3 linked regions of the Macaca mulatta genome follow. The protein of the gene in region 3 binds, or shares a complex with, the protein of the main gene of each other region. Links are inferred from orthologs where the notes say so. Each region holds a gene or a part of one and is shown on either strand. Other genes may lie near its edges. The genes, in order: ELAVL4, CAPRIN1 and G3BP1.

Evidence for each region.
Region 1: G3BP1 (region 3) and ELAVL4 share a complex: the UniProt entries of both Homo sapiens proteins name them as parts of the TAU mRNP complex. The link is inferred for Macaca mulatta from reciprocal best matches to the Homo sapiens genes G3BP1 and ELAVL4.
Region 2: the proteins of G3BP1 (region 3) and CAPRIN1 are in contact, whole or in part, in a crystal structure (PDB 8TH7), measured with the Homo sapiens proteins. The link is inferred for Macaca mulatta from reciprocal best matches to the Homo sapiens genes G3BP1 and CAPRIN1. Residues at the interface, in NP_005745.1 of Homo sapiens: Glu4, Lys5, Pro6, Ser7, Leu10, Val11, Glu14, Phe15, Arg17, Gln18, Thr21, Leu22, Met29, His31, Arg32, Phe33, Tyr34, Gly35, Lys36, Gln58, Lys59, His62, Leu114, Glu117, Asn122, Lys123, Phe124, Tyr125; in NP_005889.3 of Homo sapiens: Met363, Gln365, Met366, Gln367, Gly368, Pro369, Tyr370, Asn371, Phe372, Ile373, Gln374, Asp375, Ser376, Met377, Leu378.

The regions. Positions count from the first base shown.
Region 1 is NC_133406.1:190,516,976-190,520,625, reverse strand, and holds part of ELAVL4 (ELAV-like protein 4), read left to right. Parts: intron 1-1,299; coding exon 1,300-1,540; intron 1,541-3,650. UniProt on the Homo sapiens protein: RNA-binding protein that is involved in the post-transcriptional regulation of mRNAs. Plays a role in the regulation of mRNA stability, alternative splicing and translation.
Region 2 is NC_133419.1:31,226,935-31,230,684, reverse strand, and holds the start of CAPRIN1 (caprin-1), read left to right. Parts: upstream 1-1,168; 5' UTR 1,169-1,356; intron 1,357-1,901; coding exon 1,902-2,117; intron 2,118-3,750. UniProt on the Homo sapiens protein: mRNA-binding protein that acts as a regulator of mRNAs transport, translation and/or stability, and which is involved in neurogenesis, synaptic plasticity in neurons and cell proliferation and migration in multiple cell types.
Region 3 is NC_133411.1:160,738,318-160,741,967, forward strand, and holds part of G3BP1 (ras GTPase-activating protein-binding protein 1), read left to right. Parts: intron 1-681; coding exon 682-883; intron 884-2,628; coding exon 2,629-2,730; intron 2,731-3,312; coding exon 3,313-3,424; intron 3,425-3,641; coding exon 3,642-3,650. UniProt on the Homo sapiens protein: Protein involved in various processes, such as stress granule formation and innate immunity. Plays an essential role in stress granule formation.

The sequences.
Region 1 (3,650 bases), on a different chromosome or scaffold from region 3:
CCAAAGAGTTGATGATCAATTTCTGAGGAGATGGAAGCCATTTTATGATGGACAAATAGAGGATGGTGATAAGACAAAATGGAAAGTTGCAAATTATGGGCTGCGTTTGGGGCCAGGAAACCTGGGTGCAGGCCTGGACTTTGCCCTCATTTTTATATGATATCAGAGAAGTAATTGGACATCTCTGGGCTTCATGTCCAATGTGAGAGTGTTGAGCTAGATTTTGTTCCCTTAAGCGCCTTCCGGCTCTGGAATTTTGCAATTCTCCATGTTTGTCATCCCATACAGGGCATCTTCATGACCTGACTTCATGAGCTTAAACTCATTTTTCTTATAAAACCCTATTCTAGCATCTTCTCAGAACTTTCCCTGAATCTCCCTATCCTGTAAGCAGAAGTAATTGCTTCTGTATTGCATGGTCATTGCCCTACACCAGCTGTTTACCTGTCTTTGTCCTCTATAGGCTATTAGCTCCTTGAAGATAAGGATTCATTCATTTCTTTATTCTCATGCATGCTGCCTAGAACATTCACACCAGCCAGAAATCTTTGTTTAATTAAATATTTTAATCAAGAGAAAGTCCTTTTTGAGTAAGATGTGAGTGGACAGCCTCAGGCGGTGCCGGACCTAAGGAAAACTTTGCCTCCATGTTTTTTGTTTTATTAGAGGTCTGGGAGAAACAATAACAGAATGGCTAGATTAAAAAAAAAAAAAAAGACATTAGAGGACTTTGCAGCTACCTAGCATGTACCTATAAAAATCTAAAGTTTGATCAGTGATTAAGCATCAGTGAAAAATTTAAACCCTTCCCATATTGAACAACCCCACTTAATTTAATGTCATTTTATTTTATGAGATAGTTAATAAACAGGTACTGTATTTGATCTTGTGAGTGTAGCCCTCTATATTTAGCTTTTTCAGCTTTAATGGAACTATAATTTTAATCATGATTATTACTTTACATTTTAATTATAATTTGGTGTGGCTTAAGTATACATTTCTGAGAGTAGTTGTGTAATGAAAACAGGAATTAGCTTTTCATTAACAAAATAATGGGAGAGTTCCTACTGCATTCTAGTCTGTGTTCAAAATCTATGGGCTGGCCTAAAAATAGAAAGGGGAGTTTAACATTTTGGTTAAAAACAGGCTTCTAAATTGGCTGTGTTCACAACCCAGTCTCTTGCTCCATCTTGCTTTATCTTCTCTTTCTTTTCAAAAAAATAAATAAACTTTTAAAAGAGACTTTGGTTGTGTCTGAGATTTCAAAAGGCTTTTTCAATTGTTTTTATTTTTATTTAGATAATTAGCACCATGGAGCCTCAGGTGTCAAATGGTCCGACATCCAATACAAGCAATGGACCCTCCAGCAACAACAGAAACTGTCCTTCTCCCATGCAAACAGGGGCAACCACAGATGACAGCAAAACCAACCTCATCGTCAACTATTTACCCCAGAATATGACCCAAGAAGAATTCAGGAGTCTCTTCGGGAGCATCGGTGAAATAGAATCCTGCAAACTTGTGAGAGACAAAATTACAGGTATGCACAGGATTTGAAGCTATGTTGTTCCATTAGATGTGCAGATCTTAGCAGAAATGCACATGTGTGATGATGCACCTGAGTGTCTATATCATGTACCCTGCTTGCAGGGTGGCACGGATACACAGTCATAAACTTACACCACATACACCACATAAGACCTTATTGTAGATTGGTACTGCTGGGAAGCAGATGAAGATTTTGGCACATCTTCATCTTCATGTAAAATGATCTTTTGATTTTGTCTCCTTTTATTCTCCTCCATTCCCTCCCTTTGTTCTATAGTTTCCAGTCCCACACTCTGCTCTCCCTATACTTTACACTAGTTTTGTTCATGTATTCTTCTCCTCTCAATATTTGCTTCGTGTGTGCCCAATGTTCTTCCAAGTGCCTGAAACAAGTGTTTTAAAAGGGGCCACTGTGGATGTGTGAATGGTTGACACAACTGCCCTTGTCCCTGGGGAGAAACAGGCCCTAAGGATAGCAGATTAATCTGGAATGCAACTACTCTGCAGTAGGAGGGAGATACTTAATGAAGATCTGCATTTGAGGTATTTTGTTTTATGTCATCTGTCTGTTTGTTTTGAAGATGCTCTTTAAGAAGTGAGGGAATTTTTACTTGAAAGTGAATCAACACCCTGTACAACTTCAATACATGAGATTTTTAGGTTCTGATTTTCTCCTAATTGACAACTGTTCGTTGAGAACCAAATGTTTGCCAGACACTGACACTATAATTCTTTGGGGGAAAGTTTCCCTGTAATCTTATTGGCAGTGAGAATATTTTCTTAGAGATATATTAGGCTACATAACGATGGCAGTGAAGCTGCTACTGTGTGATACTCCACTCCTGAAATCATTCATATCCAACTTTGAATACTTGTCAGTTTTGAGTATTGACTTTTGTTTTCTTTCTCTAGACAGTTTAATTAATCAGCAACTGTCCTGTAGTTTTTTTTAAAAAAAAGGAAGCTGTGTCATTAAAATAGGGGTATACATCATCTTTATTTTAAATCAGAGATTACATTCTATATGTGTGCGTGTAATTATATATATTCTTCTGTTCTCATAATTCACATGTAAATTTGTTCCCCTTATAAATTAAGTAGTTTGCAAAATCATAAAACTTAAATACCACTGCCACTTTCCAAAATATAAGTCACTCCAGATATAATTTTCTTATTTGAAAAATTGTAAGATAATGCTTGTCTCAAAGGGCTTATTGTGAGGATTAAATGAGAGACTAGATATATTGCATCTAGCACAGTGTCTATTGCTTAGTGGTGCCTCAGTAAATACATCTATTATTATAAGTACAGCTAGTATGCTTCAAGGAAAGTGGCCAGAACAGAAAAAAATATATCTATCAAGTTCTCCAAATAGGGCCAGGCTTTGATGATCTTGTACCAGAGCACTGGAACATCTATCCTTAAACAGAATTTCCCATACGTTCAGAAAGCCAATATTTAGATTCCTGAATAATCTTTATGTAATAGGATGATAATTCAAACCAAATTAAAACCAGTTAACCATATGATTCTTCCTCCTACTCCTATATAGGAAATGTATTTTTAGTGTAGCCTTACCTTCAAAATACAGAGTCTGCCAGCTATATTAGTGAATATTATTAATCACCTTTTCAGAATTCCTTCAGAACTGTAGTGAGATTTTTGAGAAGTACTGATTCATGGTGTTGTTCCTTGTTTTCTAAAGACACATGTTTAAACAAGCAGATTCCTTTACTGAAAGAATGCTAATTTGGTAGTTCACCGAGTGGATTTGAATAGGAGTGACAGCTTCGAAGACAGCCTTTAATTTGGTATACAAAACCAAAATTGTCAACTTTGGTTTGTTTAGCACCCTCTCCAGCACAAGCAGAGACATACAGTAGCATCTGAGCTTAAAGAAGAAACTTATGGGGTTGAAAGCAGAAATACAATTCAGGCATAAATTTGTAATTATGCATCCTTCTTAAATTCAGGCCCAAAAAATTTTTATTTGTAGAGACCTTATGGGAATGAGGCAGAGAAATATAGAGAGAGACCAGAGATATTTGCCCTCATTTGGTAGCAGTGTTTAATAAAAGTAAAACTTGTGGTTGTAAAGAGTG
Region 2 (3,750 bases), on a different chromosome or scaffold from region 3:
TTTCACTATCTGCCATATACTTACTTGTCTTCCCCTTACTTAGAATGTAAGCTCCATGTAAATATGTTTTGCTCATAATCCCTAGCACTTAAGAGTTCCCAGCACACAGTAAGGTGCACAATAAATACTCCAATGAATATATAACAGACTTTGCAGCTAACCAGGCTATCTTGAGGTCGGAGGCTGCTGTTGTTTCTCCAGGCTCCCTCCGGATGCACTGTTGCCAGCCAGCGTTACTCATTTCATTCCCTAGGCAACAGTGGGCTTGGTAGAACTCTCTTCTAAATCTCTTTTTCATAGAATTTAAATTATAAATTGGTCATTTACTGTTGTCGCACAATATTGCGTTGCTGAATTTTCCACTGATTATATTCATTTTATTTCCTTCCAGAACTTGGTTTCTTGTTTCTCTGCTCACTGTCCACACCCATTCCACTCCAAGGCTGGAATAATTCTCTTGGAAAAAAAAAGTAATCGTTTTCTTTGTATTTCATTGAACATTCCCTTTACAGTGTTAGGTAAACCTGAAACAAAAGGAAACAAAAGTCTAATAATTCGTAATACTCAGGCCTACTGGATAGATAACATCATAGGGTAGCTGAAGACTCTGAGGCCAGAGCTTTAGGATTTAAAAAGCCACCAACCATGACCGTGTCCGACACGTTCTACAGAGAACTCCTAGGTTACTGGGTGATTGTTTGGTGGGGAAGCGGCGAGTTGTCTTGTTTTCAAAAGACGTTATGGGGTATGGAGTTTGCTCGCTCTGCATACAGAAGGAATTCTAGAAGCCGGGATTGCACCACCCACCCCACGCACCCCTTACTTGCAGAAACCTTTGCCCCCCAACCCCCACCCCCACCAAATAAGGGCTCTTCAAGGGGCAGTTGCCAGCTCCAGACCCAGCTGCTTGACACCTATTGTCCCCGCTTGGGCGTCAAACGATTTCGCCTGAAGGACCCTAGCGTTGATTGCTCTCAAAACTCAAGGCGCCTTTCCCTCGGCCTTGGCGGGGCCATCCCCACCTGCGTCCAGGAGGCGCCCCACAGCGCAGGGGCCAGGGGACAGCAGAGAGGCTAGCAGGCTGCCTCTTCCAGGCAGGCGTTCGCGCCGGGCAGCCCGAGCGGCCGCGAAGGCCCCCGCTCTCCGCTTCTCCCGCCCCCCGCGCCCCAGAGGGCTGCTGGCTGGCTAAGTTCCTCCCGCTCCCGGCTCTCGCCTCACTAGGAGCGGCTCTCGGTGAAGCGGGACAGGGCGAAGCGGCTTGCGCCCACGGAGCGCGCGACACTGCCCGGAAGGCACTGCCACCCTTGCCCCCTCAGCTGCCCACTCGTGATCTCCAGCGGCCTCCGCGCGCGCACGGTGAGCGCCACCCGGGACCGAGCCGCTGCAGGGGAAGAGGGCCGCTGCGCCCGAGTGTCCTTTATCTCCGGACCTGCTGGAGCTTCCGAGGGGCTTGCCCCCAAGTCCCCCCACCCCACCCCGGCCATTTCCCATGCCCTTCTCTGCCCCCAAGACGCGGCCTCTTTCCTCCCTTCCCTGGAAGCCGGCGAAAGCCGGCCCTCCCAGCTGGGGACCGTTGCACTGGCCGTTGGCGGCCGGCGCGGCGATGCCCCGCCCCCGGCGCGAGCCTCGGAGCCGCGGGGCTGGTAGGCCGAGCCGGCGGCTCCGCGGGGGAGGGGCGGGTCGGGGGGCGGTGCGAGGCCCGGCCGGGCGCCCCGCTGGCGGGTCGCGCGCGCGCCCGCGCACTCTTCCTGCCCTCGAGGCGCGCCGCGCCCCCTCCCCCACCCGTTCGCGTAGGCTCCCGCCCGCTGCGCGTTTTGTCCCGCGTCTCGCCCCGTCCGTCTCCTGACTCGCCGCTCTTGTCCTTCCTCCCGCTTTTTCTTCTCTCCCCTCGCGGTCTGAAGATGCCCTCGGCCACCAGCCACAGCGGGAGCGGCAGCAAGTCGTCCGGACCGCCTCCGCCGTCGGGTTCCTCCGGGAGTGAGGCTGCCGCAGGAGCCGGGGCCGCCGCGCCGGCTTCTCAGCACCCCGCAACCGGCACCGGCGCTGTCCAGACCGAGGCCATGAAGCAGATTCTCGGGGTGATCGACAAGAAACTTCGGAACCTGGAGAAGAAAAAGGTGCCAGGAGTTGGCGGGGAAGGGAGGGGTGGCTGCGGCCGGGCTCTGCGCCCGCTCCGACCCTGGTCGCTGGAGTCTGCGCTTCTTTCCGTCTCGGGAGCGTTACTAGGTCCCCTCCTCCCACCCCCTGGTCCCCACGTCCCGTCTCCACGTTCAGCGGGAGCTTCGTGCCCAGAAAACGGGCTCCTGGAGGAGGCACTTGTCACCTGACTCGGACGCGGCACTGTCCCCCAGGCCTCTTCATTACTCTTCCGCTGTGGGTCTGGCTTTTGGCCTTTGGGAGTGGGACATGTGAGGGTGGGGGCCTGTCGTCAGGACATCACTGTATGATGCCCTTCTCTCCGTCTCCGAGACCCGATTTCTCTGACGAGGGCCCAAAATGAAGAGGTCCCTGCGCGGGGGGCTCCGGGCTCAACCAAGCGCCTCGTGGAGTTGGGGCGGCCTGTGTCCTGTAGCCTTGCGGTCTGTCCGCTCGGTTACCATGCATTTGAGACCTGTCGAGCGTCCCCTTTTCTTCCGTGGGAGAGAAGTGTGTTTAGAATCTTAAGGCAGAACTGCCTTTCCGGCAGGCCCATTTTGAATGGATCTTCGATTTGCTACCCCCGCCCCCATGCGATGGGCTCCCCTGCGTTTCCCTCTTTGTTTCAATTGTTTAGGTGTCCCCCCGAGCCTCACGCTCAGCTCAATCGCGAGATGATTTTCTGCAGCGACTTTTTGTTCCTAGGGGACTCTGAAGGGGCGGGGGACTGCCAGGATTTAGATTCGTTGGGGGCTGGGTCCTGGGGAGACTGGAGAGGATGGCTGGGACTCGGGGCACATGGAGAGAGCGTCTAACATGGCGGCGGCTGCGGGGAGAGGGAAGCGCTTTACTGGAGCTGCATTGTGAGCACAAAGCGAAAGCAGAGGGGGAGGGCAGAGACCAGGCAGCCGCCCGGACTGGCCTCCTTAGGCCCCCCTCTAAAAAGAAAAATCGAGCCACACCCACGATTTTTTGGATTCAATATTTAGTCCTTGTAGATCACACTACTGAGGTATATCTTCATCTGCAAGTCAGCCTTTTGTTTTATGCTTTCATCGCAGGACAGTGTAAACTCTGTTTAGAGGGGCGTGTGTATGTATGTAGAGAAAAGGTCTGGGCAGAGTGAATAATTAAAATGAGTAAGATCAGAGGTGGAAGGGGAGAAACAAATTAGTCGTTTGTGAAAACGAGGTAATTACGTCTGTGACTATCATGTTAACTTGAATTTTACCTTGTAAAATGAAAGTTTGATAACTTCTACTGTCTGCCTCTAGGAAAACATTTTTATAACATCTTGAATTTCCAGGAAATCATTTTGCAGTGTTTATGTAGCCAGATACCTAATAGCGTTACTTAGGTGCTGATATAGTAACTGGCTAAAACTTGGGCTGTGGGAAATAAGTTGAAGAAAACTGGCGATGTTTAGGTCTTATTAGTTTTACGTATTTACTGATATATTTTACATTTTGGGAGAGTTTTAAAACATTTAGATTTGATACTTCCTGTCTCCTCTTCAGTATTAAAGGTTGGGAGTTTTACTTGAATTTCATGGACTTTATTTGAAATTGAGAGATGTTCTAATCTTGGGATTTCTATCTTTTTTTTCCAATCATT
Region 3 (3,650 bases):
GTGTGTGCCCAGCCCCTCTGCAGTTTTAACAGCATTCCTGGTTTGATTTATGTGGAATTTTAAGAATTGTATTCTGAATCATAACTAATATATTTTCTCCCCCAAATTCTTTACGTATTTGAAAGTTTTTGTGTGTTTGTGTTAAAAGCCACATATCATAAAATTTGCCATCTTAACCTTTTTTTTTATCTTAACCATTTTTAAATATAAAGTATAGTAGTGTTAACTGTATAGATACGGTTGTATGACAGATCTCTAGGACTTTTCACCTTACAAATCTTATTGAAGATAACTTCATATACCTTACAAACAGACTGTACCCATTGAATGGCAACTTTCTTTTCCCCCTCCCCCAGCCTATTTTGAGAGTTTTTCTGATGTTGTATGCTAAATGAATTGTAATGATTGTGGGATTCCAGCCATAAAGTGGTTTGGTTCATTTTGATGTCCTGATTCATTTGCTTATCAGAATTTGCCCAAATGGATTCCAGTGAAGTTATTGAGTGGCATTTTAAAAATTACTTTTTAAAAACTCAGATATACAATTCTTAGCTTTTTTTTTTTTTTTTTTTGAATAGAGGGAGCTAACTCTATGTTCTGGTTTCTGGTTAATAAATGATGGGGAATTTTTTGCGAAATAAATGGTGGCAGAATGATATTTCTCAAATTTTTCCATCAAAGTAATGACATGGAAGAACATTTAGAGGAGCCTGTTGCTGAACCAGAGCCTGATCCTGAACCAGAACCAGAACAAGAACCTGTATCTGAAATCCAAGAGGAAAAGCCTGAGCCAGTATTAGAAGAAACTGCTCCTGAGGATACTCAGAAGAGTTCTTCTCCAGCACCTGCAGACATAGCTCAGACAGTACAGGAAGACTTGAGGGTATGAAACATGTCTTCATTTTTATTCTATTTCTAGTTATTTTTTAAAAAAGAGAAATCTCTGTTCTGTATTGCTGTTCGGTTGACTTTTGTAGATACATTTTCATATTGGTGGTTCATTTCAGGGAAATTTCTTAGATATTGAGCCATGCCTTTGATAAGAGAGAGGTAAGATGTGTATTAGTTTATTTCATCAAAAAAAACCACTCCCTTCCCCTAGGTAACTTGAATGCCTGTTAGACTAGAAAGTTTAGGTGCCACTGTAGCACCGTGTCAGTGATTCCTTATCTTTTTAATATTCAAGCTTTTACACTATAAATTATTACATGCTTGTTACTACAAATTTATAACATCTTTTTAAGGAAAACAACATGGCAGAATATACTTTTTCTATGAAATTTTTTTGAAGATAACTTTATAGTGGAAGTAGGAATGAACTGCTGAAGTAAGATTTCTTTGCTAGTTGGCATACCTGATTTCGGAAGTTTTCAGTTTGTCCTCCTGAGTCTTATTAGGGTGTTGTTAACTGAACTCATGAAACCTTTACATTTGGCACTCTGAGAAGGAATATAATTTTTAGTGCTGTATTGATAGGCTCAGGGTTATGTCATTTGTTTGTTCAACAATTAATTCAAATTCCTGCTGTGTGTTAGGCATTGTTCAAAGTGTAGGTATTGGCAAAACAGATAGGGGTTCTTGCTCTCTGGCAGCTAATAGGTGAGTAGGAAAGAGCAATGTTGAAATGACTTTAGCTTGCAAGTGGAAAAAATTAGCTGGTCATGGTGATGCCTATGTGTGATCCCAGCTGCTTGGGAGGCTGAGGGAGGAGGATTGCTTAGCCTGGGAAGTCAAGGCTGCAGTGAGCTGTGATTATGTCACTGCATTCCAGCTTGGGAGACAGAGTAAGACCTTGTCACAAGAACAAAACAATAAGAAGCAAGTGGGAAAGTAGTTTGACTGGACCAGATGACCACTTAGTTGGTTATTATAGTAAACCTAGTAAGAGAGGATGATGGTTTGAATTAGAGTTGTGGCAGTGGAAATGGAAAAGAAATAATTAGGTAGAATAACAGGTTGTGACAATTTTTAAATGTGTGAGAAAGGTGTTCATGATGATTCTACAGTTGATATAATTGAGTCAATGTTTGTACCATGGATTGGATTGAATGACAGCAGGAAGAGCTGAGCTGATTTTGGAGGAGAGGGAATTTTGTTTGATTCACAAATTTGAATGAAAGTAGCTTTCCTTGGGCCAGGCGTTGTGGCTCACGCATTTAATCCCAGCACTTTGGGAGGCAGAGGCCAGGAGGATTGCTTGAGTTCAGGAGTTAAAGACCAGCCTGGTCAATACAGTGAGACTTCATCTCTGCTAAAAAGAAAAAATAGCTGGATATGGTGGCACATGCCTGTAGTTTCAGCTGCTTGGGAAACAGGTGGGAGGATCACTTGAGCACAGGAGATGGAGGCTGCCGCGAGCTGTGTACATGCCACTGCATTCCAAAAAAAAAAAAAAAGTGAGTAGTTTCTTGAACCTAAGCCTCTCAGATTTGCCTGATCATCAGTCCCAAGGAATTTCAATACTAAATTTTGAATAGCTGGAAGAGAAGAATCTTAATATATGTATAAACTCCATCCTGCCTGTGAGAATGTGTTACCATTTGTTTTGTACAGGAAATCAAGAGTTAGTAGCTTTTATATTGTTTTGATACATGGTATAATTATGTAATGTTGGTATTGCTCCCTTAGACGTTTTCTTGGGCATCTGTGACCAGTAAGAACCTTCCACCCAGTGGAGCTGTTCCAGTTACTGGGATACCACCTCATGTTGTTAAAGTACCAGCTTCACAGGTAAGGTCTTAATAAAACTTGTACATTAGGCAAGTGTACTTATATTTTGGTAATTTGATTCAACAGAGGTTTAGAGAGTGTGAAAACTGGTCAGGTGCAGTGTGGCTCATGCCTGCAATCCCAGCACTTTAGGAGGCTGAAGCCAGCTGATCACTGGAGCCTACCAGTTTGAAACCAATTCAGGCAACATAGTGAGACCCTGTCTCTACAAAAAATAAGAAATTAGCCGGGCCTTGTGGCATGCATTTGTAGTCCTAGTTAATTAGGAAGCTGAGGTGGGAGGATTGCTTGAGTTCAGGAGGTTGAGGCTGCAGTGAGTCATGATTGTGCCACTGGACTGCATCATGGGCAACACAGTGAGACTCTGGCTCAAAAAAAAAAAAAAAAAAAACAACCCAAATCAATGTAGAAACAAAACTGATATATAAGACAGAAGAGAAGGGTATAAGGTGGTTTTTAATGATTTTTCTTGTTAGGGAATTGTCCATTTTCTAGTTTAAAACTTGTTAGCTAAGAAACTTCATTAAGAAAAAGGATAAGCCTGCTTTGTTTTAACACAAAAGTTAACTTAAAATTTTTCAGCCCCGTCCAGAGTCTAAGCCTGAATCTCAGATTCCACCACAGAGACCTCAAAGGGATCAAAGAGTGCGAGAACAGCGAATAAATATTCCTCCCCAAAGGGGACCCAGACCAAGTAAGAGCTCAGAAGGGCGATTTCTCGTTTGGGGGATTTTGAGGTGAGAGCTTATTTTGGGAGGGCAGTTGATATTTATATACTTTAAAATAAAAATATTGTAGGGTTGATGGAATTGCCTGTTTTTACGGTAGAGGGAAAACTATTGAATGTGAGCAGTCACTGAAAGATGTCTTCTTTCTCTTACCTTTAATTGATGTTTTTGTCTCCTTTTAAGTCCGTGAGG